Linked DNA regions of Macaca mulatta. The protein of the gene in region 4 purifies or fractionates together with the protein of the main gene of each other region. This does not show direct contact. Links are inferred from orthologs where the notes say so. Each region holds a gene or a part of one and is shown on either strand. Other genes may lie near its edges. The genes, in order: DMD, SNTB2, UTRN, TNS2 and DTNB.

Evidence for each region.
Region 1: the proteins of TNS2 (region 4) and DMD purify together in Homo sapiens (affinity purification with mass spectrometry; 3 studies listed by BioGRID and IntAct, with this or other methods). This does not show direct contact. The link is inferred for Macaca mulatta from reciprocal best matches to the Homo sapiens genes TNS2 and DMD.
Region 2: the proteins of TNS2 (region 4) and SNTB2 purify together in Homo sapiens (affinity purification with mass spectrometry; 4 studies listed by BioGRID and IntAct, with this or other methods). This does not show direct contact. The link is inferred for Macaca mulatta from reciprocal best matches to the Homo sapiens genes TNS2 and SNTB2.
Region 3: the proteins of TNS2 (region 4) and UTRN purify together in Homo sapiens (affinity purification with mass spectrometry; 4 studies listed by BioGRID and IntAct, with this or other methods). This does not show direct contact. The link is inferred for Macaca mulatta from reciprocal best matches to the Homo sapiens genes TNS2 and UTRN.
Region 5: the proteins of TNS2 (region 4) and DTNB purify together in Homo sapiens (affinity purification with mass spectrometry; 3 studies listed by BioGRID and IntAct, with this or other methods). This does not show direct contact. The link is inferred for Macaca mulatta from reciprocal best matches to the Homo sapiens genes TNS2 and DTNB.

The regions. Positions count from the first base shown.
Region 1 is NC_133426.1:32,394,398-32,400,237, reverse strand, and holds part of DMD (dystrophin), read left to right. Parts: intron 1-1,640; coding exon 1,641-1,754; intron 1,755-2,729; coding exon 2,730-2,885; intron 2,886-5,840. UniProt on the Homo sapiens protein: Anchors the extracellular matrix to the cytoskeleton via F-actin. Ligand for dystroglycan.
Region 2 is NC_133425.1:64,874,467-64,880,306, forward strand, and holds part of SNTB2 (beta-2-syntrophin), read left to right. Parts: intron 1-1,046; exon of another isoform or gene 1,047-1,534; intron 1,535-3,441; coding exon 3,442-3,652; intron 3,653-5,840. UniProt on the Homo sapiens protein: Adapter protein that binds to and probably organizes the subcellular localization of a variety of membrane proteins. May link various receptors to the actin cytoskeleton and the dystrophin glycoprotein complex.
Region 3 is NC_133409.1:49,688,646-49,694,485, reverse strand, and holds part of UTRN (utrophin), read right to left. Parts: intron 3,417-5,840; coding exon 3,213-3,416; intron 1,944-3,212; coding exon 1,762-1,943; intron 780-1,761; coding exon 629-779; intron 1-628.
Region 4 is NC_133416.1:60,186,623-60,193,216, reverse strand, and holds the start of TNS2 (tensin-2), read right to left. Parts: upstream 3,765-6,594; 5' UTR 3,632-3,764; coding exon 3,488-3,631; intron 3,086-3,487; coding exon 2,977-3,085; intron 2,486-2,976; coding exon 2,448-2,485; intron 1,536-2,447; coding exon 1,497-1,535; intron 1,178-1,496; coding exon 1,139-1,177; intron 988-1,138; coding exon 938-987; intron 683-937; coding exon 511-682; intron 1-510. UniProt on the Homo sapiens protein: Tyrosine-protein phosphatase which regulates cell motility, proliferation and muscle-response to insulin. Phosphatase activity is mediated by binding to phosphatidylinositol-3,4,5-triphosphate (PtdIns(3,4,5)P3) via the SH2 domain.
Region 5 is NC_133418.1:99,627,522-99,632,795, reverse strand, and holds the end of DTNB (dystrobrevin beta), read right to left. Parts: intron 3,849-5,274; exon of another isoform or gene 3,702-3,848; intron 3,312-3,701; coding exon of another isoform or gene 3,307-3,311; exon of another isoform or gene 3,278-3,306; intron 1,547-3,277; coding exon 1,259-1,546; 3' UTR 1,236-1,258; downstream 1-1,235.

The DNA.
Region 1 (5,840 bases), on a different chromosome or scaffold from region 4:
AAAAAGATTGTGAAATATTATTGGAACATAGATTATCTCTGCTATAGATTGAATAGGTAGAATTTAGTTAGATAATACCGAGAAAGGAAGAGTTCTTGAGAAAGCATCGCAGCATTTTCAGTTAACTGGAATAAGTTCAACATTGGGGAGACAATATATATGGGGATTAATAAAATATTATGGTTGGAAAACTGGTTTGGGAGTAGACAGTGAATGGCCTTGGATGCCACGTTTTACGATCTGAGTTTTAATCTAATGGTAATGAGAGTGATAACAATAACAATAAGAAAAAACTGCTATTGGTTAAAGAGGGAAATAATATGATTCCACTTGTGTTTTCAAAACACTCCCATGGCAAGAGGAAGGAGGAGAAGAGAAGATTCCTGGCTTCACTGTAGATCAATAATTAGAATGAGGTAAGACCGAAGCAGATATCAAAATGAGCCAGTGCATTAATGGAGTCAGTAATAAGACCTGAACAGACCAGGCATAGTGGCTCACACCTGTAATCCCAACACTGTGAGAGGCCGAGGTGGGTAGATCACGAGGTCCAGAGATCAAGACCATCCTGGCCAACATGGTGAAACCTCGTCTCTACTAAAAATACAAAAATTAGCTGGGCATGGTGGTGCACACCTGTAGTCCCAGCTACTTGGGAGGCTGAGGCAGGAGTAATCACTTGAATCTGGGAGGTGGAGGCTACAGTGAGCCAAGATTGTGCCACTTCACTCCAGCCTGGGTGACGGAGCAAGACTCCGTCTCAAAAAAAAAAAAAAAAAAGACCTGAGCAAGGACAGTGAAGATGTGGAAAAAGAGCAAATGTAGACTTGAAAGACAACAGCAAGGTGATCATGTTGAAGTTCTCTGACTTAGATAAGTGCTTTAAAAATTATTATTAATCATCATATTAAAGGGGAAACTTTCTGTGGAGCATGTATTTTCAATATACATTTAAGTAAATTGGAAGAAAACTCATGTAGACAGTAGAGTTCAATCATACTTTTTAAAAGTAGCGAAACAGCAGAAAGAAAGGTAATATGGCAAAGAATCATGGATGAGAGATATTGGCTATTTATAAATGATAAAAGATGATGATTTTTACCTGATCATTACTTCATACTGGTCAGACAAATAAAAACAAAAGCTCTCTCTTCTAAGATGACAAAATCTTAGTCCGAAAGTTCACAACTGGAGGGACTATTTAAACTGTCATCTGTAGAAAACAATTTGTGAAGTTCGAGTTTAGGGAGGCTATGAAGACACCATTACATTGAGTTTATTGTTCATAGTTTGTTTTATGTACTGTAAGGGCATATTGTTAGTATTCTCATGAGTTGTTTTGTAACTTAAAATTTCTCTAGAGGGGGATATGATTTAATGTTCTTGAGAGTAACATCATAAAACCGCATTTGGTAGTAATTTTTTATTTTTAACAATAGCAGACTTCACACACCAGTGCTCATACAGTAGACCATAAAAACGCAGTCTTAGTAAAAATATTCTTTTCCTCAAGAGCTACTTAGAGACATCCTTTAAACATGGGAATCGTTTTTGGGCTTGTGTTTAGACATAACACAATGATGAATTGTATTAGAAGTAATCAGCACACCAGTAATGCCTTATAATGGGTCTCGTTTCAGAATCACATACAAACCCTGAAGAAATGGATGGCTGAAGTTGATGTTTTTCTGAAGGAGGAATGGCCTGCCCTTGGGGATTCAGAGATTCTAAAAAAGCAGCTGAAACAGTGCAGAGTACGATTTTTATATGATGTCTTTAATATGAATAATTTTGTATGAATATTACTTGGTTAGATCAGTGTTTTACAGCTGGGGTGGATTTTGCCCTCCCCTCACCAGCAGATGTTTTTTTTAATGCTTGTAGACATTTTTGATTGTCATAACTGGGTTGGGGGTGGTGGTTAGATGCTACTGGTGTCTAGTAGGTAGAGGACAGAGATGCTGCTAAGTATCTTTCAGTCCATTGAACAGCCCTCCACAACAAGGAACTGCACAATCTAAAATGTCACTAGTGCCAATGTTGAGAAACCCTGGGTTGAGTAAGTGAGGAATTGAGAAAGCATTGCCTTGTACTCAACGTCAGTTGATAACATTATTTTGCTATAAAATGCAGTATAATTTAAAGGTAAAGAATCCTTTGAGCTACTTGTTATTTCTTACAACAAATTATTATTCATACTGTGTTGTTCTCTTCATGTATAATGCACTGTACTATAACACAATATGTAGTTTTGAAATAATATTCAGTATACCACTGTCATGCAGCAGGAAGAAAATAATCTTGCTCTTTAAAGAATTTTTTTTTACAATACAAGCTAAAAAAGCAAATCCACCTTCACACCCATTACACTGTAAACAATTATCTGCAATATCCTGTGTTTGAAAATGAAAATACTAACCAAGATAGTAAAGTATGAAGCCCATTTTCACACATTTTTCTAACCAGAAATATTAGATTTATTTCCTTTTGTTTCTGATATAAGTAAAATACAAATAATTCCCCACTGGATTCATGCCATAATAACCATTGAACATTTTTGCAAGACTGTTATGCAGTTGTCTATATCAATATATTTGTATCTCAGATTTTAAAAGACAAAAATCCATATGCGATGCCATCAGTCCTAATTTTACATTTTCTAGCTATGTTGCATATTTAATATGTGGCAGTAATTTTTTCAGCTGGCTTAAATTGATTCATTTTCTTAGCTTTTAGTCAATGATATTCAGACAATTCAGCCCAGTCTAAACAGTGTCAATGAAGGTGGGCAGAAGATAAAGAATGAAGCAGAGCCAGAGTTTGCTTTGAGACTTGAGATAGAACTGAAAGAACTTAACACTCAGTGGGATCACATGTGCCAACAGGTATGGACAATGTCTTTCACTGTGGCTAGTCTCAATGTAGTTAAGATTTCCTAATGTCTCCCTTCACCATTACTTTTGTTTAAGGCTTTGTTCCTACGCTGTTGCTTTAAAGCACAATTAATTCTGACAAATTAATCTTTTTTCTAGCATATATAAATATTTTCATAGTATGTATTTTAAATAGTACACATTCATCTTATTGTGGTCCTAAAATGACTTTCTTGAAACAGCTGTCATACTGAAAAATGAAATCCTATTCGTAGTCATTATTTCCAATCCACGTTTTCTTCAGAACATAAATGTATAATAATAGATTAAGAAAAATACATTTCACAGGGATATTTGGTACAAAATAAAATGAATGGGTAATATATGTGTATGTAGAAATAGGGTAAATAATTTTTACTTTTGATTAACATTTCCAAGTTTGGCCTCTTCAATACATTTATTATTTATTTATTTTATTTTTTGGGACAGGGTCTCCCTCTGTGCCTCTGTCACCCAAGCTAGAGTGCAGTGGTGTGAACTCGGCTCACTGCAGCCTCAACCTCCTGGGCTCAAGCAATTATCTCATCTCAGCCCCCACAAGTAGCTGGAACTACAGGCGTGTGCCACGATGCCTGGCTAGTTTTTGTTATTTTTTTGGTAGCAACAGGGTCTTGCTATGTTTCCCAGGCTGCTTTTGAATTACTAGTCTGAAACAATGCTCTTTCCTTGGCCTCCCCAAGTGCTGGAGTTACAGGTGTGAGCCACCACACCCGGCCGACATCTATTTTTAAATAACAATTAAGATTCAGTAACCATTAAGAATAGCTGAATAAAAAAAAAAACCACAAAATGACTGTACACTCATATTTGAGTTTCTCATTTTTCTACAGAAGAATATTTTATAGATACCTATTTTATAGTTAAATATTAAATGATGGATAGTAAGATACATTAAAAAATAATGTATATCAAATAATTTGTGTTCAGAAGGTAAAATTTTGAACTAAAGCAATGAATACTTTTAAGTCACCAATACATTAGTCCCTGATGATCTGCAGTTTTGCTTTCCATGGTTTCAAATGCTTGTGGTCAATTGGAATCCTAAAATTGGCGAGCACAGTAAAATAAGATACTTTGAGAGGGAGAGAAAGAGAGATAACGCGTTCTGTTTTATTAGCTGTTAATCTCTTACTATTCCTAATTTATAAATTAAATTTTATCATTTGTATGTATGAATAGAAAAAAACCTAGTGTATATAGGGTTAGGTATTATCTATGGTTTCAGGCATCTACTGGAGGTCTTGGTATGAAAATGCCTTCCACAGATACAAGGGAACTACTGTGCCTTTTTGGAAATTAATAAGGAGTTTCAATTTACGTGTTAGAGGCAGTCAGTCTCTCGTTACTGCTAAGTAAACTTTCAAAATAGAAAAGAAGTAATGTCAAAAGGCAAAAGCTACATTTGAAAATGAAAAAAAAATTAGAAAAGTCAAGGCAAATCACTCAGCTAATACAATCACTGACAAATGTTCATTGGTTCTATTAATTCATAGATGAGCTATCCCTGGGTCAGCTAGCTCATATTCTTCTTCTGAAGTAAGTCAGTGCTAGAAGAGTTGTTCAGGAAAAAAAAATTATATTACTTAAATAGTAGATTATACTACTGATGTTTTCTTGGAAAGCCAGTATGAAAGGTATTTGTTTTTTGTTTGTTGAATGTTCTTAATGGATGAATAGAAAGAGCACCAATTTATGTAGAGTAAGGGGAAAACAGCAAGTAAATGAATAAATAAATAAAATAAATAAAAAAAGGTATAAAACTAACAATATTACTAAAACCTCAAGGTTTTTACATTTTATAGGAATACAATTTGTAAAGGCTGTCTACTCTTAAAATTTCTTTACTTAAGACCTTATGTCTGTTATATGTACTAAGAATTTGTTGTTCAAGAGAAATATTTTAAATACATTCATCTGTTGCATAACAGAAGAGCTATAGATCAAGCTATGTTCTGATCCCCATTTTCTAATCTTAGAGTATTATATGTATCTGTGCTTTTCCTTCGAGTATCACTCTGGCCATGTTATGACTTTGTAGATAAATGAGTTAGGTTGTGAAAGGAAGGAACAATGCACTAATGTAGAAGAGGAACAAGATGCCGTAAAAACAAGGAAGCCAGATGTGAATACTGGTACCAATTCAGCGTTCCAGAGAGAAGAATGGAAATGAAGTGTAAATCTATGCATTACAGAAATATCTACAGACAAAATAAGTGTGTGATACAGTCTTTTGGGTTAAAGATAATTCCTTATTTGTCACCAAATGCCAATGTCTGCAAAAACATAAATAATTTGGAACAAAATTGTCCAAATATCTGATATATTTGAGGATGCTTTGACATCCCATGATCTAATTTTGGATGTATAAAATGATTATGATTATTTTAAATTCTAAAGGGTATGTATCTAAGTTTTTAAAAATCTAGATTCTAGCTATTAAAAAATTACCAGATATAAGTGGGGAATAAAATAGACATTGTACTTATCCTCATGGAGATAACAGTTTGGTGGTGAAAACGGAAAGTAAATGGGTAAACACATTATCACAACAATGTCTGGTTTTAAGTCTTGCTATACACTCTGAATGTACCAGTAAGAACCCTTTAAATGAGAGGAACAGGAGCAGGAAAACTACTTTCTATTGGGTAGTCAGTAGAGTCTTTTCTGAAGAGGTGAAATTAAAGCTGATACCTCAGTAGTAGGAACTTGACAATTTGCTGTGTGACAGAATTCTGGCTAGAAAATGAAGTGGAAGGAAACATCTGAGTCAAGAGAGAGCTTAACATGTTTGAGGAGCCAAAGGAAGCCACTGGAAGCCACTGGAAGAGGAGCAGCATGAGCCAGGAGAAAAAGAAAGGGAAAATGAGTCAGAAAGGAATATGGAAGTCACAGTGATGATTTACTCAT
Region 2 (5,840 bases), on a different chromosome or scaffold from region 4:
TCCCAGCACTTTGGGAGACCTAAGTGGGTGGATCACTTGAGGTCAGGAGTTCAAGACCAGCCTGGCCAACATGGTGAAACCCTGTCTCTACTAAAAATACAAAAATTAGCCAGGCTTGGTGGTGTGTGCCTGTAATCCCAGCTACTTGGGAGGCTGAAGCAGGAGAATTGCTTGAACCCGGGAGGCAGAGGTTTCCGTGAGCCGAGATTGTGCCACTGCACTTCAGCCTGGGCAAAGAGCAAGACTCCATCTCAAAAAAAAAAAAAAAAAAAAAAAAAGTTACCAATTAATATTCAGACTTAACCTGCTGTTCAAGACCCTCTAAATTCTGGAACCAAGCTACCTCTTAATATACGTAGGTATATAATAGGAAATCAAATAAAGAGCTCATCAGAACTGTGTCTAAATAAAAAGCAAATAGCTTAAAACTTGATATCTAAAGGTTTTCCTCTGAGTAATATGAACTTTCAAATACAGACTTTTCTTAAGCCTTTTGGCTGTTCACAACTCTTATTTTATGTCTTCTGTTTTCTAGAACTTTTGTCCTATTTTGCTGTTACCATAAAACTTTGACAGCATATAAAAGATGGATAGACTAGTAGGTAGGCCTGGAAGTAGCTAGATGATACACTTTTTTCATCACTGTATCTCCAATACCAGTGCCTAGCACAGTATTTGGCATATAGTAGGTGCTCAATAAATGTTTATTTAAGAAAGTATAGACCAACCAGAATTCAAATGAAAATGAATATTTGTAATACGAAATATGACAACTTAAAGTATTTGGAATTATAAAGGGCTTAGAAACTGTGACAAAAGAGCTTCAAAGCAGAAATGCTGGTGTACTTGTAAATTGCTTATCTTTTTGACAAGTGGCATAGAATCTGATGATAGTGCCTTTAGGCAACAAAAACTGTCTTCAGAAAATAATGTAAAGAAAACTCACTCCCTGGTCATTGGCGGTTTGTGAATTTGTAGCCTACCATGAAAAACACTCCTAATTGCTTTTTTTTTTTCCATTTTAAAAGATATGTGTTCACAGCAGAGTATATATGTTATTTATTTATTTATTTGACTTTTAAAATTCATCTTTGCAAGAACTTTGATTAAAACACAAAACAATATTCAATAGATTGCTTTATAAAGAATTTGTTCAATGTATATTTAAAATATTTTAGCAGTTTTCTAAAGGTTACTTTTGAAATATAGATTGTTCTTGGTGAGCATTAACTAATACAGAACAGTCATAGTGTTGATCCCTTAACTATTTTTCTTTTTTCTTTTTTTTTTTTTTTTTGAGACAGAGTCTTGCTCTGTCGCCCAGGCTGGAGCGCAGTGGCCAGATCTCGGCTCACTGCAAGCTCCGCCTCCCGGGTTTACGCCATTCTCCTGCCTCAGCCTCCCGAGTAGCTGGGACTACAGACGCCCGCCACCTCGCCCGGCTAGTTTTTTGTATTTTTTAGTAGAGACGGGGTTTCACTGTGTTAGCCAGGATGGTCTCGATCTCCTGACCTCGTGATCCGCCCGTCTCGGCCTCCCAAAGTGCTGGGATTACAGGCTTGAGCCACCGCGCCTGGCCTTCCCTTAACTATTTTTCTACCATAACTCACTGGATGAGTAATCACATAAAAGTACCCAAACACAGTTCTAAATTTTCATAAAGAGTAATAATCTGCTAATTTTCTTTTTTCTTTTTTTTTTTTTTTGAGAGGAAGTCTCACTTTGTCACCCAGGCTGGAGTGCAGTGGCGCGATCTTGGCTCACTGCAATCTCCAACTCCTGGGTTCAAGCGATTCTCCTGCCTCAGCCTCCTGAGTAGCTGGCATTACAGGCATGTGCCACCATGCGTGGCTAATTTTTGTATATTTTAGTAGAGATGGGGTTTCACCATGTTGGCCAGGCTGGTCTCAAACTCCTGACCTCAGGTGATCTGCCCATCTCAGCCTCCCAAAGTGCTGGGATTACAGGCGTGAGCCACCATGCCCGGCTGCTAATTTTCTATTTATTTCACATAATGTAAATTTCAGTTCATTATTTGGCAGTACACATTTTTAAGCTGGCACTACTTTATACCAGAATTTCCTAAATGTTTAAAAGAGTATCAGTTCCTTCTTTTCAATGTGCCTATATGGTTCAGCAAGCATGCTTTTCATTTCTTAGACATAGAAATTAAGGTAAAGTTATCTACTGTAGACTACAGTAAGTTCCCTCAGCTTATTACTTTGACACTGAAACGACAGATCCAGCAGTTGGTGTTTCTTTAATTTTTTCTCGGGTTCAGTAACTAGCCCAAGTTGGTCTTTCTGATTTTTTAATATATTTTATTTATTTATTTATTTATTTATTTATTTATTTATTTATTTGAGACAGAGTCTTGCTCTGTCACCCAGGCTGGATCTTGGCTCACTGCAACCTCCACCTCCCTAGTTCAAGCAGTTCCCCTGCCTCAGCGTCCCGAGTAGCTGGGATTACAGGCGCCCGCCCCCATGCCCGGCTAAATTTTTTGTATTTTTGGTAGAGTCGGGATGTCACTATGTTGGCCAGGCTGGCCTCAAACTCCTGATCTCAGACAGTCCATCTGCCTTGGCCTCCCAAAGTGCTGGGATTACAGGAGTGAGCCACCGCGCCCGGCCTCTGATTTTTATCTTTCCATATGTTGTTTTCTTTGGAATTGAGCTCTAGGGAATTAAGAGAAAGTATCTTTTTTTTCTTTTTTTTTTTTAGATGGAGTCTCGCTCTGTCACCCAGGCTGGAGTACAGTGGTCTGATCTTGGCTCATTGCAACCTCCACCTCCCGGGTTCAAGCTATTCTCCTGCCTCAGCCTCCTGAGTAGCTGGGATTACAGGCACCCACTACCATGCCCAGCTAATTTTTTGTATTTTAGCAGAGATGGGGTTTCACTGTGTTGCCCAGGCTGGTCTCGAACTCCTGAGCTCAGGCAATCTGCCTGCCTTGGCCTCCCAAAGTGCTGGTATTACAGTCGTGAGCCACTGTGCCTGGCTGAGAACGTATCTTTTTTTTGAGACGGAGTCTCGCTCTGTCGCCCAGGCTGGAGTGCAGTGGCCGGATCTCAGCTCACTGCAAGCTCCGCCTCCCGGGTTCACGCCATTCTCCCGCCTCAGCCTCCCGAGTAACTGGGACTACAGGCGCCCGCCACCTCGCCCGGCTAGTTTTTTGTATTTTTTAGTAGAGACGGGGTTTCACCATGTTAGCCAGGATGGTCTCGATCTCCTGACCTCGTGATCTACCTGTCTCGGCCTCCCAAAGTGCTGGGATTACAGGCTTGAGTCACCGCGCCCGGCCTGAAAGTATCTTTATTTGAGTATACAGATGTATTTGAAAATGCTAAGTTAAAATAGATTTGCAGTTATGTATTTTAAACCTGGCAGGTTTGGTGACTTCTGTCCTAGCTCATTTTTTTTTTTTCTTTTTCCACACAGATTGATAGAGCTACATTCTCCTGATAGCAGGAACACGTTGATCCTACGCTGCAAAGATACAGCCACAGCACACTCCTGGTTCGTAGCTATCCACACCAACATAATGGCTCTCCTCCCACAGGTGTTGGCTGAACTCAACGCCATGCTTGGGGCAACCAGTACAGCAGGAGGCAGTAAAGAGGTCAAGCATATTGCCTGGCTGGCAGAACAGGTAGGCTGGGAGGCAGGTATCACCTGGTTCCCATTCAGAGCCAGGATGGTTCCTCATTTTAGATATCTGTAATACTTAACATGCAGTTAGGTCCTGGATATCTAACTTGCAGATCTTTTGTTTTTCGGTCTTTTGTTTCACCTTCCTTTTTCTCCTTCTACCTTTGGCTATTTGTTGCTAATTATCCACTCAACCAGAAGTAACTGACATAGTAATCACTATCATACTGTTACTAAAAAGAAGTTCTTATTACCATCTCTATCCTTAATGACAGAGGATAATTTTCATGATTTTAGATCAGGTTCAGCTAACTTTTTCTGTAGAGGGCAAGATAGCATCACAACTACTTGATTCTTCTGTTGTAGCAAGACAACTGTAATAGGCAATAGGAAAATGAATGGGTGTGACTGCGTTTCAGTAAAACTTTATTTACAAAAACAAGTAAACTGGTGGTTGGCTGGATCTGGCCCAGGGGTCATAGTTTCCCAACCCTTGTTCCTGACTAGAAGAGCTTCTAGGGGCAGCAGGCTGTAGTTGATTCCCCTGCTCTGGGAAAAGTATAAAATATACAAACGATTTTACAATTAGACAGAGGTACAATTGTCTTCCATAACTGAAAAGTGAAAAAAAAAAGAAACAAGAAAGCCTGAGTAGATGTTGAGTGAAAGGAAAAGAAGAACTTGAAAGCCCAAGTTATTTTAGATCCCAGGTTTGACAAAAGGAGAGTAAAAGTTCTATGTGACATTATGTTACATCTTTTTTCTTCACCATCAGCTAGGCTAGAGGGGCTTGAAAAAAAAAGGACTGGACTAGGGGGTTCAGAGATGAGTGTTTAAGTGCTAGCTCTGTTTTTCACTGCTTTTGAGTCTTTTTGAAACTTACGTTTTGAATCCTAGTTGTGTGTGCAAAGGGCCAGGGAGTGGACTAAATAACTGGTTCCCAAATACAGCAGAATCAGCACAGGAAGGATTCTGTTCTTTCAGTTTTGATTTTTTTTTTTTTTTTTTAAGTACAGTTTCCCACTGGTTCCCACCTTCCACCCCAACATAGTTCTAACTTTTTTTTTTAAGCCCAGGTTGATTTTATTTATTTGAGGAGGATATTGTCCTCAAAGCAGTTCTGATGTGGTAGATCTGTGGTGGTGCCTGGTGATCTTGGTGGTACCAAGTAATTGTGGTAATTCAGGGGCCAATTTTGGTCACCAGCAAGAGTAATTTTTTTATTTTATTTTTTGCCACTTCTCAACTTTTTATGAACATTTCAAATAAAATTATAATGAGAATGTAATATTAGTACAGTGATCATTTCTATAAAGCATAATTAGAATAACTAATAAATGAGTGAAAGTCATGGTATAAGTACTTATGACTTTGAAAATTTTAACATTTTAGTTGTGTTTATCATTGTTTCTATATTTTATATGCTAGTTGAAAACTTGAATTGAATGGTAATTGTTCTGTGCTTCTGGCATCGTTCAAAATCCTCATGATTTTAAAAAGGTAACACATTCACATGGTTGAAAAATCAAACAAAAAATTAATAGGTGAAAAGTCTTGCCCTCATTCCTGTTACCTATCCACCTGTTATGCCCTTTGCCCTGGGAAGGTAACAACTCTTATTCCTTTCTATTGAATCTTTTGAGAGTTTCTTTATGCAAATAAAAAGAAAATATGAGGCAGGATGTGGTAGCTCATACCTGTAAAACCAACACTTTGGGAGGCTGAGGTGGGAGGATCGCTTAAGACCAGGAGTTTGAGACCAACCAGGGCAATATGGCAAAACCCCATCTCTACAAAAAATTAACAACTAAAAAAAAATTAGCTGGGTCCTTTCACACATGCACTGTCCAGATCCTTTGGCTCCTATGTCCAGGTAGATCAGATAAGGATATCAACATTATCTGCATATATTCAGTTCTTAAGTTTCTGACAGTAAATAGTAAAACTTTGGTTAGTAAGGGATTTATCCAAAGGTTCACATCAGTTCCTAAGTTTAGATAGTGAGAGTTCAGAGGGTAGGGGATATTTCTCTTTTTGTTTTTTTGGAGATGGAGTCTTGCTCTGTCGCCCAGGCTGAAGTGCGGTGGCACGATCTCGGCTCACTGCAAGCTCCGCCTCCTAGGTTATTGATACTAATTTTTATGTGACTGATTTTACCCTTTAACTGGTTATATTGGTTTTTGTTTTGT
Region 3 (5,840 bases), on a different chromosome or scaffold from region 4:
GTATTTAAACACTATCAATAGTGTTCTCACAAGCTTCTCAGAGGTGTGTTTAATGTATTCCTAAAATTTTACGCATCAGTTACCTCAGTGTTTCACTGATCAATAAAAGTCTTCAGTTTACAGAGAGCATATTTTATTCTACCTTTCCTTATCTTAACTATGAAAAGTTTATCTCCTAAGCTTGTGACCAAATTAAAAGCCCAACTAATATCAGTTCCTCCCGTAACGCTTGATGCTTTCCTGGATCACAGACAAAGAAACAGCTCTCCTTAAAGGTTTAGGTACAGACACCTCTCAGAATTTGCTCTTCACCCACACACCGTGTGAACGCCAGCAATGGTAGGGTTCTTCACCACTTACAGGGTCAAAAGAACCCTTCTCCAGTTGTATGAAAGCTATGTACTTTCATAAGAAAACTGCACATCACATATAAAATTTTACCCTGCCCTTTTATCCCTGGCTCAGAAAAGTCTCATCCCCATCAATTCCACCGTGAGCTACTAAATGAAGAGAACCCTGAAGAAGTGTTGCAACTTCATGTTAATGATAGACATCATCAGCCTCTGAGATGCTAAGTGCTGCTCTTTCATATTTGGTAAGGTATCAAAGAAATACGAGACAGATTTACTTTATGTTCTTCTAGCAGCTTTTGTAGGGATTGTACATCATCGTCCAGGGGGCAAGTTTCCATCTTCTGAATGCGCTCCTCTGTGAGTGTTAACCAGGTGGAGAGCTGCTGCAGTTGCTTCTTCTGTAGTTCCATCAGCACGTCGTGCAGCCTGCCCGTGGGGAGCACAGCATTATTCCTACAAGCCTTTTCCCTTTGCAAAGTCAAATACACATTCTGGGCACCAGAGATACAGGGCAAGGGAAAACACCCTTGTCTAAACATTCTAGGTAGCATTTAGTCTTTAAATATAGAAGCCAGGAAAGTAAACTTTTATTTTTTCCTAAATGGAGTTCATTAAATGCAGACAAAGAATGCAAATAACAGCACCCTGTATTCATATCAGAATCATTATTTCTTCAGTCAGGAATTCCTACTTATTAAATAGGTGGAAGTTTGCTCCAGAAGATACAATACATGAAATAAAATAAACCATGAGAAAGCTTTAAAATAAAAGTTACAAAATGGAAAAGTAGATCAATACTACATAGTCCTGTCTTCACACCAAGTTAATGTTTAGCTGATTTTAATATTGCAAATAAGTAACTGCCCATATGAAATGTCTTTTCCTTTTTCTGGAGACAGTCTCACTTTGTTGCCCAGGCTGGAGTGCAGTGGCTGAATCTCAGCTCACTGCAACCTCTAACTCCTGGTTCAAGGAATTCTCAAACCTCAACCTCCCAAATAGCTAGGATTACAAGCGTGGCCCACCATGCCCAGCTAATTTTTGGATTTTTAATAGAGACAGAGTTTCACCATGTTGCCCAGGCTGGTATCGAACTCCTGGCCTCAAGTGATCCACCCGCGTCGGCCTCCCAGGTGCTGGGATTACAGGCATGAGCCATCAGGCCTGTCCTCTTTTCCCTTTTTGTTAAGTTCTGTATTCCAACTTTTACCTTCTGGTACGGCTAGCACACCAAAGGGGAAACAAAGATCATGCAAAATTCCAGCAATATTACCCATAGAAAAGAGTCTTACTTTTCCGAGGCAAGTTCTGTAATCATCTTGCTTTCACAGACATGCAGACATCTCCTAGAGTTCAACTGTGCAAAGCAGCCTGTGGAATTAAGTGCATTTCTTGGCTTTCCACTCACCGGGACTGTCTGTCCATACTCTCCACCCTAAGAGCCTCCCATCTAGCATTCAGCAGAGTCATCTGTTCCTGAATCTCAAATTCCTCTTCGTCTGATAGAGTTCCTTGTGTTATCAGTTGGTTGCCTGCCTGCAGGACGCTGCCCACACTGCTCTGGTGTGCAGTCAGTTCCATCATAAAAGCCTAGAAAGGGACATTTGGTATAATTTGTGAGTTACTCGGTGCAAAAAAAAAAAAAAAAAAAAAAAAACTGAACAAATTGCTAATGCCTAACCTAAATGTCAGTGATGCAAAAAAAGGTAGCCTAGTAGAGTGCAAACAGTGCAGACATTGACCCCATTTTTTAAGCTCTGAAAATAGGAATAATCACCTGCCATAAGTTAAAAGAGACATAGCTAAAAGCAAGCAATGTTGCACCTGATAATACCAGCTATTTTAAAGTAAATGCTGACTACACTACTCATAGACCATGGACATGAAATTCTAAATAAATACAATAAATAAAAGGCCGGGCATAGTGGCTCACACCTGTAATCCCAGCACTTTGGAAGGCTGAGGTGGGTGGATCACTTAGGCCAGGAGTTCAAGACCAGCCTGGACAACATGGTGAAACCCCATCTCCACTAAAAATACAAAAAATTAGCTGGGCGTGGTGGCACATGTTTATGGTCCCAGCTACTTGGTAGGCTGAGGCAAGAGAATCGCTTGAAGCCAGGAGGTAGAAGTTGCAGTGAGCCGAGATCACGCCGCTGTACTCCAGCCTGGGCGACAGAGTAAGACTCTATTTAAATATATATATATATATATATATATATATATATATATATATAAAATATAAAATAAAATACCATACTCACCCAAGAGGAATTATTTAAGAGATGTTACCACTTATATTATTTTCCATCCAAAACAACAAATAAGATCTGTCAATTAACATACTTATACAAAAGAAAAATTTAACCAAAAGAAATCTCCATATAGTGAAATTCACTATGCTGCAATATAGTATGTCCTCAAAGGAGCAGGAAACTTTTAAGATATAAAAAAATACAGGAACCCTGGGTATGACATTTGTCTAATCATGCAATTAAAAAGAATAATCATTTCCTAGGGAACACTCAGATCTTAAAGATTTGGTGTACTGGTTCACTCCTTCGCTTTTCAAATATAACAATGCACTTCAGAACTGAGCAGTACTATGCAATGATTTTCATCAGTGGCTCTCCAAAACATACAAGGAGACTAAAATCTAAAATCTAATTCTGAGGCACAGTTTAATGACCCATACCAATTATGTAACAAAGCACTATTTAAATATCACAGTTCCTGAAATAAACCATTGACCTTTCCAAAGAACAGAATTCGGTAGATAACAAATAGGAGAGTAGAGTCCCTAATTAAGACTCAGGTACCGTGGGGGACACACCCTGCTAAGAAACTACAGATATTTACTTCATGGGTTGCAAACTGGTCTTTGACTTCTTCAACATCATCAGAAATATCATCCTGCTCCTGGAAAGTGTCCTCAGCAGAAAGCAACCAGGTCAGCACTTCCTCCAATGCTATCTGATAGCTGTCCAGATCCGCGTCAACCTCAGTGACAGTGCTGGGGGTCTCAGCTCGGGGAATCTCATGCTTCTCCTCGGGCGCTGTACTCTGTAAAAACAAAGCCAAGAAAAACCCACACTTACAATGAAAGCAAGAGGTGTTTAGCGAACTCACACTGTATGGCAAACCCAAAGTAGACACCACTCTGTCTTAGGCACTAATCCAATTCTCAGGAGCCAGGTGGGCACAGCCGTGAATGAGTCTGAAGCATTGAGTAAGTGCACTAGGGTAGCAAAGAGTATAAAAGCAGCATGCACTCATGAATTCTGTACTCAAGGAGATTCTAATATAGTCAGGGACAGAGAACCTACATGAATCACTTCTGAACAGAAATTAAAAAACAGCTATTAGAAAAGTTGTAAATGCCATGCATGGTCCCAACAAGGCATGATATTTGAGTTCAACAAAGGCTAAAACAGTCAGGAAAGTTTCATAGAGGAGTTACAGCATGTTGGGCCTTTTCTGTAATTTAAAGAAAAAGAAAAGTGAGACTTCTGCTTTGACCCTTAGGTAAATTGTTTTTGCTGAACTGCATTCTATCATTGCATTTTAGACACTAAAAGACAGCCACACAGGCTGTTGTACTGATTGTATTTTTCTTAGGCAATTGCCCTCTGGTTTATTTGATGGCCTTTTAGGGCTCATGGAATAAATTTCTTTCAACTTCTTTCTAAACAACTGAGTATTTCCTTATATACTTTAAGAGCTTATAACCAAATTGACTCTCCCTAGTTCTTTTATTCCTTTTCAGAGCAAGACTTCTTTAAGACTTGCCTACATTCCGTCTCTACTTTATCAACTCTCACGCATAATTTTTAAGTAGAATATTTCAAACGTACAGAAATGTATAGAGAACAACACAAAAAATGCTCAGGTATTTAACAGCTACGGTTTGTTAACATTCCCTCTAACTTCAACTTGCTATTTGCCCCATGACTCAACTGAAAACGCTTTTGCCAATGTCACCAATAACCTTCCCATTGCCAAACGGACCTTTCCAGCATCATCTTCACGGTGACCATATAATTAACCAACAAACTAATTTTTGATAATAACGATGCTCGAACAATAAATCTAAATCAGAACTGCCCAAGAAAGCCCAGAGAGCTGGCCACCCACGTTCCTTGCTTCAGCCCTCGGTAGCATTCCTCAAGGCTGAGCAACCTCAGCTTCCGGAAGCTTCTTTCCCTGCTTCTGCGACACTGCCCTGGTTTCTTGCTGGTTCAACAGCAGCTGCTGACTCATAAGTAATGAGTCTCCCCTAAATTAAGTCCTGGGCTCTTTTTTCTCCCCTCTCTATAGTCTGAGTAATCTCATCTACTCTTATTGGATTTAAAGAACCATCTAGAACCACCTAGGAGTCTGGATTCCAAACTCTCATATCCCACTAATCTTCATATCTCTACTTCAATGCCTCCTAGGAATATTAAACCATGTTCATATTCAAACCCTTCACTTTATTCCAATTGTTCCTCCTCAGGCTTCTCCATCTCAGTAGAAGCTCCTCCCTACAACTAGGTACTCCAGCTACAAACCTGGGAGCCAGTCCGGCTTCTCTCCTTCACCTTCCACATTTAATATGTAAGTAATTCTGACCTTCCTTCAAAACTTATCTCAAATCCATCCAGACCTTTCCCTTTCCACGACCACCTACATCCATCTTCTGAACCGGAATACCTGCTAACAACTGCCTTTACTTTACTGTTTTCCCCCACCCAACACTCTCACCTTCATAATCCACAGTCCTTTTCTCACACAGCAGCCAGAATGATCTTTCAAAAATGTAATCCCATCATAAGACGTACCTGCTGAAAACCTTTCGCTGGCTTTCCCAATGCTCTTAAGATATAATTTAAAATTCTTAGCACAGTTTACAAAAATACTGTGATAGCAAGAAACCAAGATAGAGAGACAGAAAGAGAGAGGCAGACAGAGCGTTGTATTTTGATAGATTAATCAGAAAAGACTTCTCTGAAAAGGCTCCATTTAAACTGAGGAAAAATGTGCAGCCTGCCATATAATGGTGGGTGGAGAAGCATTTAACAGATGGGAACCTGCACGAACAAGAATCTTGGGGAAAAAGTGGAAAAAGTCCACTCTAACTGCAGGGCAGAGTGGCAGAGGTAGGCCACATCTTGTAAACTATAGGAGAAAATGAAGTCTTTAATTAGTATGAAGGCTGGAATAGAATGAAAACACACACAAAAGACATTTTGGAGGAAGACTTGAAGAATCCAGCAAACTGAATATATGAGTTAAGAAATGAGCCAATCAGCACAGAGTTGAAACCATGGATAATTGAAAGACAGATGGTGCCAAAGACAGAGAAATAAAAATGAGTTAAGTTATGGACCAAAAATCCTAAAACTGCAGAATTAAAATAACCCCTGGAGATCATTTAGCTACAAACCTCTATACTAAAATGAGAATATCTAAGAACCAGGAAAGTTAGTGACCAGCCAAAAGTCACTG
Region 4 (6,594 bases):
GAGTGCAGACTCTGCCTCAAAACAACAACAACAACAAAAAAAACAAAAAAAAAAAAAAAGAAAAAAAAAGAATCTTCCTCTAAAACAAAGTGCAGGCCTGGCGCAGTGGCTCACGCCTGTAACCCCAGCACTTTGGAAGACCGAGGCGGGCGGATCACCTCCTGGGCAACAAAGAGAGACCCGTCTCAAAAAAAAAAAAAAAAAAGTAAAGAAAGAAAGAAAATAAGAAGGTAGTTAAGGCCCGGCCTAGCCACTCACAGCCAAGTCGCCAGCGCTCCTGGATACTCCGCTCCGCTCCAGGCGCCACTGCGGGCCCCGCCCCCGCCCCCGCCCCCACCCCACCCCACCCCACCCCACCCCACCCCACCCCACCCCACCCCACCCCACCCCCACTCCTCTGGTCCCGCCCACTGGCGGCCTCGCCTCCACTGGTGACGTCAGTGATTAGCCTCGCCCATCTGAACCCCACGCCCCTCTCATTGGCTGACTCCTGATGGCCCCGCCCCTCACCAGGTACTTGTCCCGGTGCTTGGATTGCAGCACGTGGGCCAGCTCGCGCAGGTGGCCCCGGTGCCGCTGTTCATCGGGCCGCGCGGGGAAGGCGGCGGCCAAGATGCGCTCCGTCACGTAGGTGAGGTCTAAGTCCCAGCGCCGCTCCATGAGCGGATCCAGGCTGAAGCTCCTGGGGAGGGGGAGCCTACGCATGAACGCAGGGGCAGGGCACCCGGAGGTGGCTAGTGTGATGGGAAGGCTGTCTGTTGGGCAGCAGGTGAAGCCTGGTGGGTCCTGAGGGTGGGTGGGTCGGTCCGGAGAGAGAATACCGCTTTGGGGGTGGGGGGCTGTCCCGGGGAGCTTTGTTGAGGGGCAGCGCCCTGGGCTGAGGTGTGGGGCCGGCGGAAAGGGGGTCACGTGGGACCACCCCAGCACCCTCACTTACCTGGGCAGAGTGCTTCGCTGCTTTGAGTGGTTCAGAGATTTGGTGGATCCCTGGTGGATAACAGACAGTGTCTGGACATCTCTTTGGGTGCCCCCTACTCTAGACTGCCCACTCCAGAGCCATACACTTTTGTCTTCAGGAAATCTAGATCCTTACTCCCAAAGCTACCTGCTTCCCCCTCCTCCTCCAGCATCACCTTACCAGGTGCTCTATGCGCCTGACTGGGGCCGTGTTTCGCCGCTAGAGGGAGATGGGGGAGGAAAAGGGAGTGGTTACAGCAGGGGCAAGGACCACTGTGGGCCTGGGAACAGTGGAAGGGAATGTCAGTGTCCTGATGAAGGCTGTACTGGACAAAGGGAGAGGAGTTCTATCCCCAGCAGGCCCAAGGGCACAAGATCAGCAGAGGACTTAGACAGTTTTTTCTTTCCTTGTAGGATGAGCAATACCCACAGCACTACATTCAAGGTCATCTCCTGGGGGCCCTCTCTGGAGCCACCAGACCTCTGGACACCATGGCCAGGTTCCTTGCCTTCCCCACCCCATCCCAGAGCGCACTCACCAACTCCGCGGGAGGCAAGGCCTGACAGGCTGAAGTCACCTGGAAGGGTACCGAGTAAGGAACTGAGCTCCTGGTGAAGGGCTCTCCTGGGCTTGAGGATGGGGTAGCCCCTCAGCTTCAGGAGGAAGGTGGAGGGGCCTTCAGCGGATGGGCACAGGCTCCAGCTGAGGTTGTGCTATTTAAGGGCACCTCCCCTCTGGCCTCTTGGTCCCCCACCCCCCAGGCCCCCCACTTGTTGCTCTTGGCGCTCAGCCCCCAGCCCACACAGACCCCCATTCATCCAGCTGCAGGGCAGGAGTTATATATAGAGCACGCAGGCAGGCCATGGCCAGGGACGGACACTGGCCTCTTTCACCGGGAGACCCCGCCCCTGGGCACACAGCTCCCCCAAGCCAGCTCCAGGGCCCTGGGACCCTCCTTCCCTGCCCTGCAGGAAGACCAGGGAACCTCCTCAGAGATAGGGCTGTCTTGGGTGCCCAGTGGACAGTGGGTGCTATCTACAGCTTATTTCTGGAAAGGCCCAGTTTTTCCAGGGCCCAGGACAAGGCCCGCCCAGGCATTTTGAGGACCCTTCCCCAGAGGGAAGGCACAGCCCATCCGGCTGCCCAGTCTCTGAAATCCTGCTCCCCCACCCCCCACCCACCCCACCCTTCCTCCTCCTCATTCTCCTCCTCTTCCCCACCCCCATCCTCTCGCCAGCTGCAGCCTGGGCACAGCACCAAGACAAACGCTGTCTCGCTGTCCACCCGCCTGGGCCGGCCAGCCCTCCAGAAGGCGGAGTAGGGTGGTTCTTAAAGGGCCCAGTCAGCACCCCTCCCACCCAGGAGGGGTTCCCCAATGGTGAGAGGGGTGGAGGTGGAGGGTTGATGCCAGTGTGGTTGGAGAAGCCTGTTTGGGAGGAGGAAGGGACTCCAGACCCTCTCCCCCTATCAGGTAGAATCAGATACCCACCTTTGCTTCACATTTTCTGTGCGTCGCCACCTTGCAGACTAGGGGAGGTAGGGGGAGGAGAGGGGTTAGCAGGGGCCTGTGGGACAGTGGAAGGAATGGCCTTCCCTCATCTCCCAGACCCTGGAACCAGATCCTGGGACTTCCAGGATCCCAGCTGGACTGGGCTGGCTAGGGCGGAGGAGCAGGGCTAGGTTTTGAGGGAAGAGTGTGGCAGTGGGGTACTATTGCGTAGGCCAGGGGTAACGTTCCAGGGTGGGTGGAGGTGAGGAGGAAGGGAGGGAAGGAAGACTACAGTCACAAGTCAGGATGGGAAGATGGTGGAGAATACTGGGTCTCCTGGGTTGTGGGGGGTGTCTGTCATGGGGAGCCAGGGCCATGTGAAGGGGGAGGCAGCCGCCTCTTAGGTGCCATTGTGCCTAATCCAGGAGCAGCATATTACATTTGAGATTGTGTGAGTTGGCCTGCTGGAGTTGTGCAACACAGTGGTACTGGGTGGAGGGTCTCAGAGTCACAGGACAGAGCACCTCACCTCTGCACGAAACGCCTGTCCCATCGACGGTCACCTTACATACTGCACAGACTGGAGGTTTCTTCCGGAAAACCTTCTCCCGGAAACTATGAGGCTCAGCTTTCCTAGGCTGAGGGTGGAAGGACAAACAGAGGTGTGAGTTCCCAGTGGGCCCATCTCCATCTCTGGGACTGGGCAGGAGCCTTGCCTTAGCACTGCACTGGTTTCCTCCATCCAGATCAAGCCCTCAAACTTGTAGGACGCACTTGGCCACAGCTGCTTCAGGGCGGTCATTGGGCCTGTCCTCAGCTGTGTATGGAATCTGACCCCTTGCGTCACCTTTGCTGGGTCAGCTCCTCCCCAGGGGATCACTTGGGCCCCTCACGTGGCCCTGGTATGTGATGCCCTTGTGGAAAGCCCACATGCTCAGGCTTTCCCCCTGGTGCAGTAGGGGTACTCCCTGACTCTTCCCGTCTTGTCCTCCCTTCATGGAGACCTGTGTGCAGAGTGAGCAGGGAGGTTCCAGACATACCTGTTGTATGTCAGTCCTGCAGCACCAGACTGAGCCAGCAGGAGTGGCCTCAGCCAGTCCTGCTCCTTTAGCTCCTGCTGTCCCCACGCTCCAGACAGCTGACATGCCCTCCTCCCCCATGGTCAGAACAACATGTTTACTCATTGTGCATTGAGGCAGCAGACAGCAATTGGATAAGGGGGGTGGTCATGCTGGAGGGAAACAGAGGCCTGTCACTGGGAGAGATGTTTAGCTGGTTTTGGATGCTGTGAGGTCTCCCCCGACCCCCTGCCCCCTGGCACTTGGGATTCATTCACACACTGAATGAGGAAGGAGTGGACCAGATTCTCTGTTCAGCCCCTCCTGATCCAGAGGTGCAGTGAAGCAGGAGCCTGGGATGCCCCCTTATGGCCCAGGCCTATCTCAGTCCCTTCCCCTCCCACTGTGGGTTCACTCCTCCTATCCTCTGTCTGGGGACAGCTTGTCTCCTTGCCACCTCTCTGTTTTACCCATATTCCCCCTCCTCTGGAGTTCAGACTCCTGCTGTCCTCATCCTGGGGACCCATCACAGTAGTCTCTCAGGTTGTCCTGAGCTGCTGCTTTTGGGGCAAGACTGGGAAGTTGGGAAAGGGAGTGATGGGGATGTGGGCAGCATCTCTGGTTTTTTGACTGTCCCTGCAACACTTCTGGGCTGGACCAACTTTGTGGGACCCACTAGGACACTTGGGAGCATGCAGGCATTAGCAGCAGATATGGATGCTGTCAGTGGAAAGCAAACCTCCAGTTCGAAAGCACTCCTGACTCCCTCTCCTCTCTCCTTTTCTGCCCTGCCACCCCATTTTCCTCAAACTTCCCCGGGCCCGGGAAGGGGCCTGATGATCTCTGAGTCTGCTCTAGGATACCTGGATAGTGCGTGGCAAAGTCCTACAGTGAGGTACCTGGGGCTTAGGTTTGGGGGGCCAGGACCCCCAGGGTTGACCCAGGCTAGAGCAGGGAAGGTGAGAGGAGCCAAAACAGACAGCGGTACCCACTCTAACCCAAACATCCCCTCACACTACAGCCCTGGCCACTCCGGAGGGGATGCTGGGCCAGGAGAGAAGGCTGAGGAAGCTGAAATTGGGAAGAGGGCCTGGCCTGATTCCAGGTCCCCTCCCCCACTGCCCACACCTCCACCCCTGCCCCTCTTTTGCCCAGCTGGTGGGCACTCCTACCCTGCTTGTGGCCCGGCTGCTGTCCCTCCTCCCCAGGGCTCTGAGCAGCCTCTCCACAGGGCCGCTGGACTTCATGGTGTTCTGCTGGCTGGGGTGCTGGCCCCAGGGCCTGAACAATGCTGGGGCCTGGCCCGGGGCTTCCTGGAAGCGGCCTGGCGGAGGCAGCCGCTTCCCCTGGGCGGAGGGTAGGCTGTCTGGCTGGTGTGAGGAGAAGCCCGGCCCTGGACGTGGAGGGAAGTGCAGGCGGGAAGGGGGCAGGTCGCTGCTCCAGGAAGTGGAGGGGGGAGGATGTGGGGGAGGCCAGGAGATCAGATTCCCAGGATCTACCCTGCTGGGAGTGTCAGCCTGTGATCTTTTGCTCCCCCCATTCCCCAACTCTGGAGTTGTCCCACACCTGGGACACCACACTCTCCAGGGATCTGCAGGGATCCATGGTCTTGAGATCCTGCCCCCAGTGGGGCCGGGTGAGAATTCTGGTCTCAGGGCAGGGCTAAAGGGCAAGTGGGGAACAGTGTGTCCCAGCCAGGCTCCAGCCAGAACTCTCAAGCCCTCGAGGGACTTCCGCTGGGGAGGGAGTGGAGCTGGGAACTACTACCAGCAGGCAGGCCCAGGATCCCGAATGTGTCCTGAGAGTCAGGTAAAAATGGGACTGGGGGCCCCCTTCCTGTCTCAGTTTAACTCTGTATGAAGTAGGAAAGGGAAAGCATGCACCGCCCACCTTTACCCTCAATACACCTTGCAAGGCCAAGTTCCAGCCACAAGACTGCTTTGCTCAGGTTTGGGGAGTAATCCATTTTCCTGCCACAGCCTAAGGCATATGAGGCCCTTCTCCTGAAAGGCCCCAGGTTTCTGCTCCTGACACAGTGCCCCCCACTCACCCATTCCCTGGCTTTGTTTCAGACATGATCTCACAGATCCCTAGCCCTCTTTCCAGCCCTGCAACTTGGTCTCTCCACCCAAGGGCTGTACCCTCCCCCTGCTGCAACCCCGAAGCCTGAGTACTACCTTCATGGCTCTCCTGGGTCTGCTCTCCTTCCTCAGCAGCTGTCCCAGGGCCTGAGGACTGGACAGGAGGTCCCCTCTCCCAACACATACTCCACCCCCATCCACGGGCCTCCCGCCTCCCTCCTGGGAACATGGCCAACTTCCCGTCCTGGGAGTCAAGGGAGGGAGATGGATGGGGCCTTGGAAAAGGGGGAGTAATCTCCCTAAAAGCTAAGGGGTTAATGGCCTGGGAGTCTTCAGCCCCAAGCTGTGGACAGCAGCCCCTGGGACCGGCTGTAGCTGTCACTTGAAAGAATGTGCAAATGTGCCCCTCTCATTTGCATGGTATTTATTGAATGTCCCAGTACTCAGGCAACTCCCACAGCCCTGGCTTCTCCCACGGGATCCCTTCTATTTGCCTCCTGCTCCTTCATACCCATCAGGAAGGGTTCTCTGGGATGGAGAATCCTGCATTCTCTGGGGTGAGGCCTGCTGTGGGTGCCCACTTGAGACCCTTGTGAGAACCTGACTGGGCTGGGCCTAGCCTGAGACCTCTCCCTTGAAGCTCCAATTTTCCAGGCCAAGAAGTGTGTCCCCAGGATATCCTGGCCAGAAGGTGGCATCTGTGTGGCAGGCCTGGGCCCCCAGCCTGTAACTGGAGAGGAGCACGGGCTCTGCGACCCACCCCCATCCTGCCAGGCTGGCTGTGTCCCAGCACATTCCAGGCCCCTGGCCAGTGTGGGCAACCGGGCCTGGCCTTGTCCAGCCCCCAGCCCTGCTTGGGGGAGATGAGGCAGTGTGACAAGGTGGGCGGTGGGGGTGGCTTTTTTCTGTCCAGTCCCACCTTCTATGGCACATGGCCCTGACCAGGACTCTACAGGATTCGATCTGCTGCCTCCATAGGGGCTGAAAGTCCCCTCACCTGGAACAGGT
Region 5 (5,274 bases), on a different chromosome or scaffold from region 4:
TCACCCAGGAATCAGTGATGCCGCAGTCTCTCAAAAGACCGTCTACCTAGGTTAAATTAGGCTGCTCAGTGGTCCCAGAGCAATTAAGATGGAAGTGCCCATCTTCCTTCTGTGATGACCATCTGTGTTCCTCGCCAGGGTTGAGGAAAGGGACCCAGTTCCAAACGTCTGACAGGGATGTGGGTCCTAAAGCAGATGCCAACAGTCATGAGGGAGCTCGGGGCTTAGGTAATGGCGGATATTCTAGCTCTACAAGACATCAACCTTAGCAAGAACCAGCATCACCAGAGTGCACCCAGTACCTGAGTGCTGGCCTCAGAGCTGAGGACACAGTCAGCAGGGGCTTGGGCAGAGGAGAGGGCCCCATGCCCTTGGAAACAGGGATCCCTGCTTGCCTGGAAGGCCAGAGAGGGGCCACGGTGAGCGGAACCCCGTGGAAAGTTCGGGGGGACACAGTGCCAACCAATGGGAAGATGAGCTATGGGGGAGAAGAGAAGAAAAGGATGGAAGGAGTGAATACCCACCCCTTCTATTTTACCCTGACTGGGCCTTGGCAGGCTTCCCTGGGACTCCATCCGTGCGCGGCCAGGAGTTGATCCCACCGGCTCTGCACAGACCTCCTCAAAGCCAAGGTCAGGGGTCTGCAGAGGTGGGTGGGGGATGCCAGGGAGCCAGCTGTGGGGCTTCTCGCTTCATTACAATCACTGCCCTTTATAAATATTTATAGCAGTTCTTCTGCTAAAAATAACATCCTGGAGCCCAGGGAGGAGGAAAAAAATAAATGAAAATCACCGGGAACGGGACTTGATCACGTGTACCCGAGCCCAATGGACCCCTAAGGCGAAAGGCTGCGTGCAGCGCCCCCGGCGGCGCGCCCCCTGGCGGCCACGGAGTCCGCGGCGCAGAGAGTCCCTCCCGCCCTCTGCCAGGCGGCCAGCCGGGCTGCGGCGCGCGGCGCGCGGCTCGATCTCCGCCCCTCCCTCCCGGGTTGCAGGCGGCGGCATCACACAGGGCGGGCGGAAGCCTAACCAGTGTGAGGCTATTTTTAGCACCGTGGCCAGGGTGTGAATGTCTACAGAGCCGAGCAAGGCCTGACGCTTTCTTTGCACGCTAGAAGAAACCTGTTGGTTCTTAAAGGTCAAAGATAAGGAAACCTGTGCCCCCACGTTTGGGAACACCCCACGTGCTGGCCAGACGCCAGGCAGAGTTCCATCAGGTCACAAACACACAAGAGCTTGGTGCTTTTTCTTTTCTCTTTTCAACCTCCAGGTAAATTCCTGATGCGGAGATGAGACCATGCCCTGAGGGGAGTGATGAAGGTGCTAGTACATGCAGGGCTGTGCAGGGGGAGGCCCACCAGCTGTGTCACGCAGCCCCTCCCCGCTTCCCACCGGCTCTGGCTCCCCTCTCCCTGGCGGGTGGAGTGACGTCTGGCAGCCTGCAAGCCTGGTCCAGGTGTGCGGTGGAAAGATGGAGAGGAATGTGCCTCTGGGGGAAGACCTTGCCTTCGCCATGTCGGCGCCAGCTTGCTCCTCGTCCTCTGTGCCTGCGCAAGACACACTCACCGTTAGTCACGGGCACTGCTGAGGGTTCAGGACAAAAGCTGCTAACATCTACTGTGAACAGGAGGCCCTGCGGGGAGGGGCTGCTAGGATGCTGGGCGCCTTTCAAGCGCTGAGCTGAAGGGTGGTACCTAAGGTCCTCTACTACCATTCCTAAGAGTCAGGAAGTGTTTCCATGGAGAACTGGGTTCACAATGCAAGGTTTGGAATGGGGTGCTTTCTTGGGGAGAACTGTGGCCTAGGAGAAGGGCAGGGAGGACTGACGTGTGCCGATGAATACTAAGAGGAAAGGGAGGAAGCCTCAGCCCCAGGCCATCAGAGCGCAGGCCCGGGCATCCATGGAACCGCGGCGCCCAAGTTTAATGCTTATAGTTTAACTCCCGACTGTTGGTGTTTCTCATCACCCCTGATGTGGGTCAGAGAGTGCACGATTAGGAGGCAGAAGAACCGGCTCCAATTCTGCTTCTGGCATACAGCTTCCGGTGTGGGGCTTTGTTTTCCTCCATGTGCAACAAGGCGGTGGGGGCACATGGCTCTGCCACGTTTCCTTGCACCCTAGTTCCTTCCGCCCGGGGGAGAGAGGGGCTCTGGCAGGCTCCTGCAGGGCGAGTCAGTTCCTGATTTCCCTCCTCGGCTGCCACGGCCTAGGCTTGCTTGGGAAAGGGCCTTGCCTGAATGTGCACAGTGAGTTTAGGGAGAAGCGTCTCTCCAAGCCCCTGGGGCACTGTGATTTCCAGGGCAGCGAGAGAATGCGCGTGGCCCAGGTGCTGCCCACCTCTCAGCTTGCACAATCCAGAGTCAGCGCAGGCTGAGGCTGCAGGGGCCCCAGGGGAACGGGCAGAGCCCTTCAATGGCCTGGCGCAGTTGGGCAGAGAGGGCTGAGAGGGCCAGAAGCTATTCCAGGATGACAAGACTTGGGAAAGTCTGAAAAAACTCCTTTTCTGGATTGTGGGGCTAGGGCCCTGGCTTTTTCATCTGAGGAAGATGCCTAATTTTTAAATATGAGAAGTAGGGGAAGGGGGAGGGAAGACAAGATTTTAAAATGGAGAAGTCTGATATCTTGGCGCTGGGACTAGAAAGAGTTAAGGTGTTGAGATGGAAAATGGGAATGACTAATTCCTAAAGGCAATGAGCATCTGCCACTGGAGCAGTCTGTACTTTCCTGCACTGCTTCTTCGGGAAGTGAGAAGGTGCAGCTTGGCCGGGCACCATGGGTAGCGGCTTGGTCAGCCCTGTATGTAGCGTGATCCTGCATGAATCACATGTCTGTGGGTTAGGGACTGTGACTCGGTGCAGTGCTGGGTGACAGAATCCAGGGACGCACTGGCTGTGGTTTGGATCCCAGGAAGGAAGTGGGCAGTGGCTGTGGTAAAGGAGCATGGGAGGCAGTGCTCCCCAGGGAGGTGGCCTTGCTCAGCACGCCCTGTTTCAGCCAACGGTGTTGGGTCTGCCAACGTCATCCCAACACAGAGGTCACCAGGCCATGCCCAAGGACCAGGCATGCAGACAGTGCCGTGCAAGACAGGACACGGCCTAGAAATAGGGCAAGGAGGGCACATGGCCAGGGTGGGCAAAGGGAAGGGAGTCGAGCTCTTGCATCTTCACCTGTTAGGACCGTCCTGGCTTGGGACCTGTGACTGCAGAAAGGAAGGGGAAGGGAAGATGTTGAGGAAGGAGGGAGGGCCGTGGGGAGGCAGAGGACTCTCTGTACTCACCTGAGCTTCCTCTGTGTCCGGCTCCTCTGCTAACCTGTGGCAGCACGGGCAGAAACAACACGCTGAGGTCACGGCCAGGTCTTCTCATGCCCCAGACTATGCTTCCCTGAACCACCCACCCCAGGGGCTTCCTTGCTTCTCCCCTGTTACTTGTATGTTGACTTTTCCCACCCAGGTATGACAGCAGGGTAGAGTCATACTTTCTACTATCATAGCCAACCCAAGGCAGCCATGGAGACAGATGCTTCCCAGGAGAAGGAAAGTCATTAAAAATGGAATCAAATCTCCTTAAATCCAGGGAGCAGTTACATGAGGGGGGGCAAAGCCTACCCAGCTCTAAAAGTTCCCCAAGGGACTGCACCTTGGGTGAGGGCAGTCCCCCTCCTGCAGATAGTCTGCTTTGAAAAGCCATGCGCTTGCTCACCCGGGGCTCGAGCACTGCCTGGCCCCTCCCGAGCCTGTTCTGTTCTCTGAGGGCCACTGCTGTCCAGCCTTGCACCAGGGCTCTTTATGGATGCAAACTGGATTTACAGCCCCCACACCGGGATGGCAGGGTCTGGGAGGGGAGATTCTGAAGGACACAGGAGCGTAACATGAGGCTCTGGAGGGTGGAGAAGACATACTATGGGGGAAGGTGTCAGTCTGTGCTTCTTCTATGTGTCTTGGTTACACTTCTCTGAGAAGATGCATAGGAGGAAGGGTACCCCAATGGAGCAGAAGCGTTCCCCAGGATGCAGCCAGCCAGCCAGCCAGGGGCGAACAGGGAGAGGCGTGAGGTAGGGGTGAATATGGCAGGGAAGTTCAGCTTGGTCCAGATTCTTCAAAAGTCCCATTTGACTCTAAGAGTTTCCCTATCGAGCAGACTGTTTGCCTGACAGTGCTGACCAAATTCTGTTTATATTACGTCAGCATAGTTTCAACCCCAAAGAGGCAAATATACTCTCTCTCTCTCTTTACAGTTGACAGTTACAGATCTCTGGTGTCCAGGTGACTGCAGTTAGTTCTAGGTCTGTAAAATTTCAGGCCTAGCTCATGGCAGAGAATCAGGAGGTCCACCCACAAAAACACTTAGTCTTAGAAAAATGCCTATGTATCAGCTACATTGTAGTTTCAGGGACATATCATAGGACCTATATAATGTGGAGAGCCAAACATAAACACTCTACCATCTCTCACCCCAACTATTAACACTCTTGGCCTTAGGGATGACACCAGCAAGTCACATAAAATTCAGGCATTCCCACAAAAAGATTTCACATAGACATACAGACATTCTAGTATATGCATTGAAAGACAGACAAGGAGCTCTAAGGGCAAGAGGCACAGAAACAAGAGATGAGGACAGGGCAGTGCAGGTGTAAAGACAGCACCCTGGGGCCTGGAGGGCTGGGCAAGGGAAACCCAGTCTGATGCGGACAGGGCAGTGTAGGTACAAAGATAATGCCCTGGGGCCTGGAGGGCCGGGCAAGGGAAACCCAGTCTGATGAGGACAGGGCAGTGTAGGTACAAAGATAACGCCCTGGGGCCTGGAGGGCCGCCGGGCAAGGGAAACACGGTCAGATTCCCATGTGAGGCACGGCCCACACTCAGAATGGAACCAGGATAAGGGCTGGAGTTCGTAGCCAGGGCAAGGCCTCAGTGGCTGGGGCAGAGTCCTAGGTTTGCTTTGGGGGAGTGAAAGGGACTGAGGAGAGGCCATGGGAAAAAGCTACTGGGGAAGGGAGGGGCAGGTGAAGGGAGGCCAGAGATGCAGCTGTTACGTCTTCAGCCAGGAACATTCCACATGAATGCTGGGATTTGGTTGGCATGTGCGTGTGTGTGTGCATGTGTTTGGAGCATGTGTTTACACCAGTGTAAATTTATCTCTCTCTTCACCTCTTGCCCTCCTGCCTTCTTTCTTATGTGTGTGCGTAAGTCAACTGTTTCTACATTTCTATGAAGCATTCCTAGATGTCTGAAACACTACTCTCTCTAATGTGACCTTTTATTTTTATTTT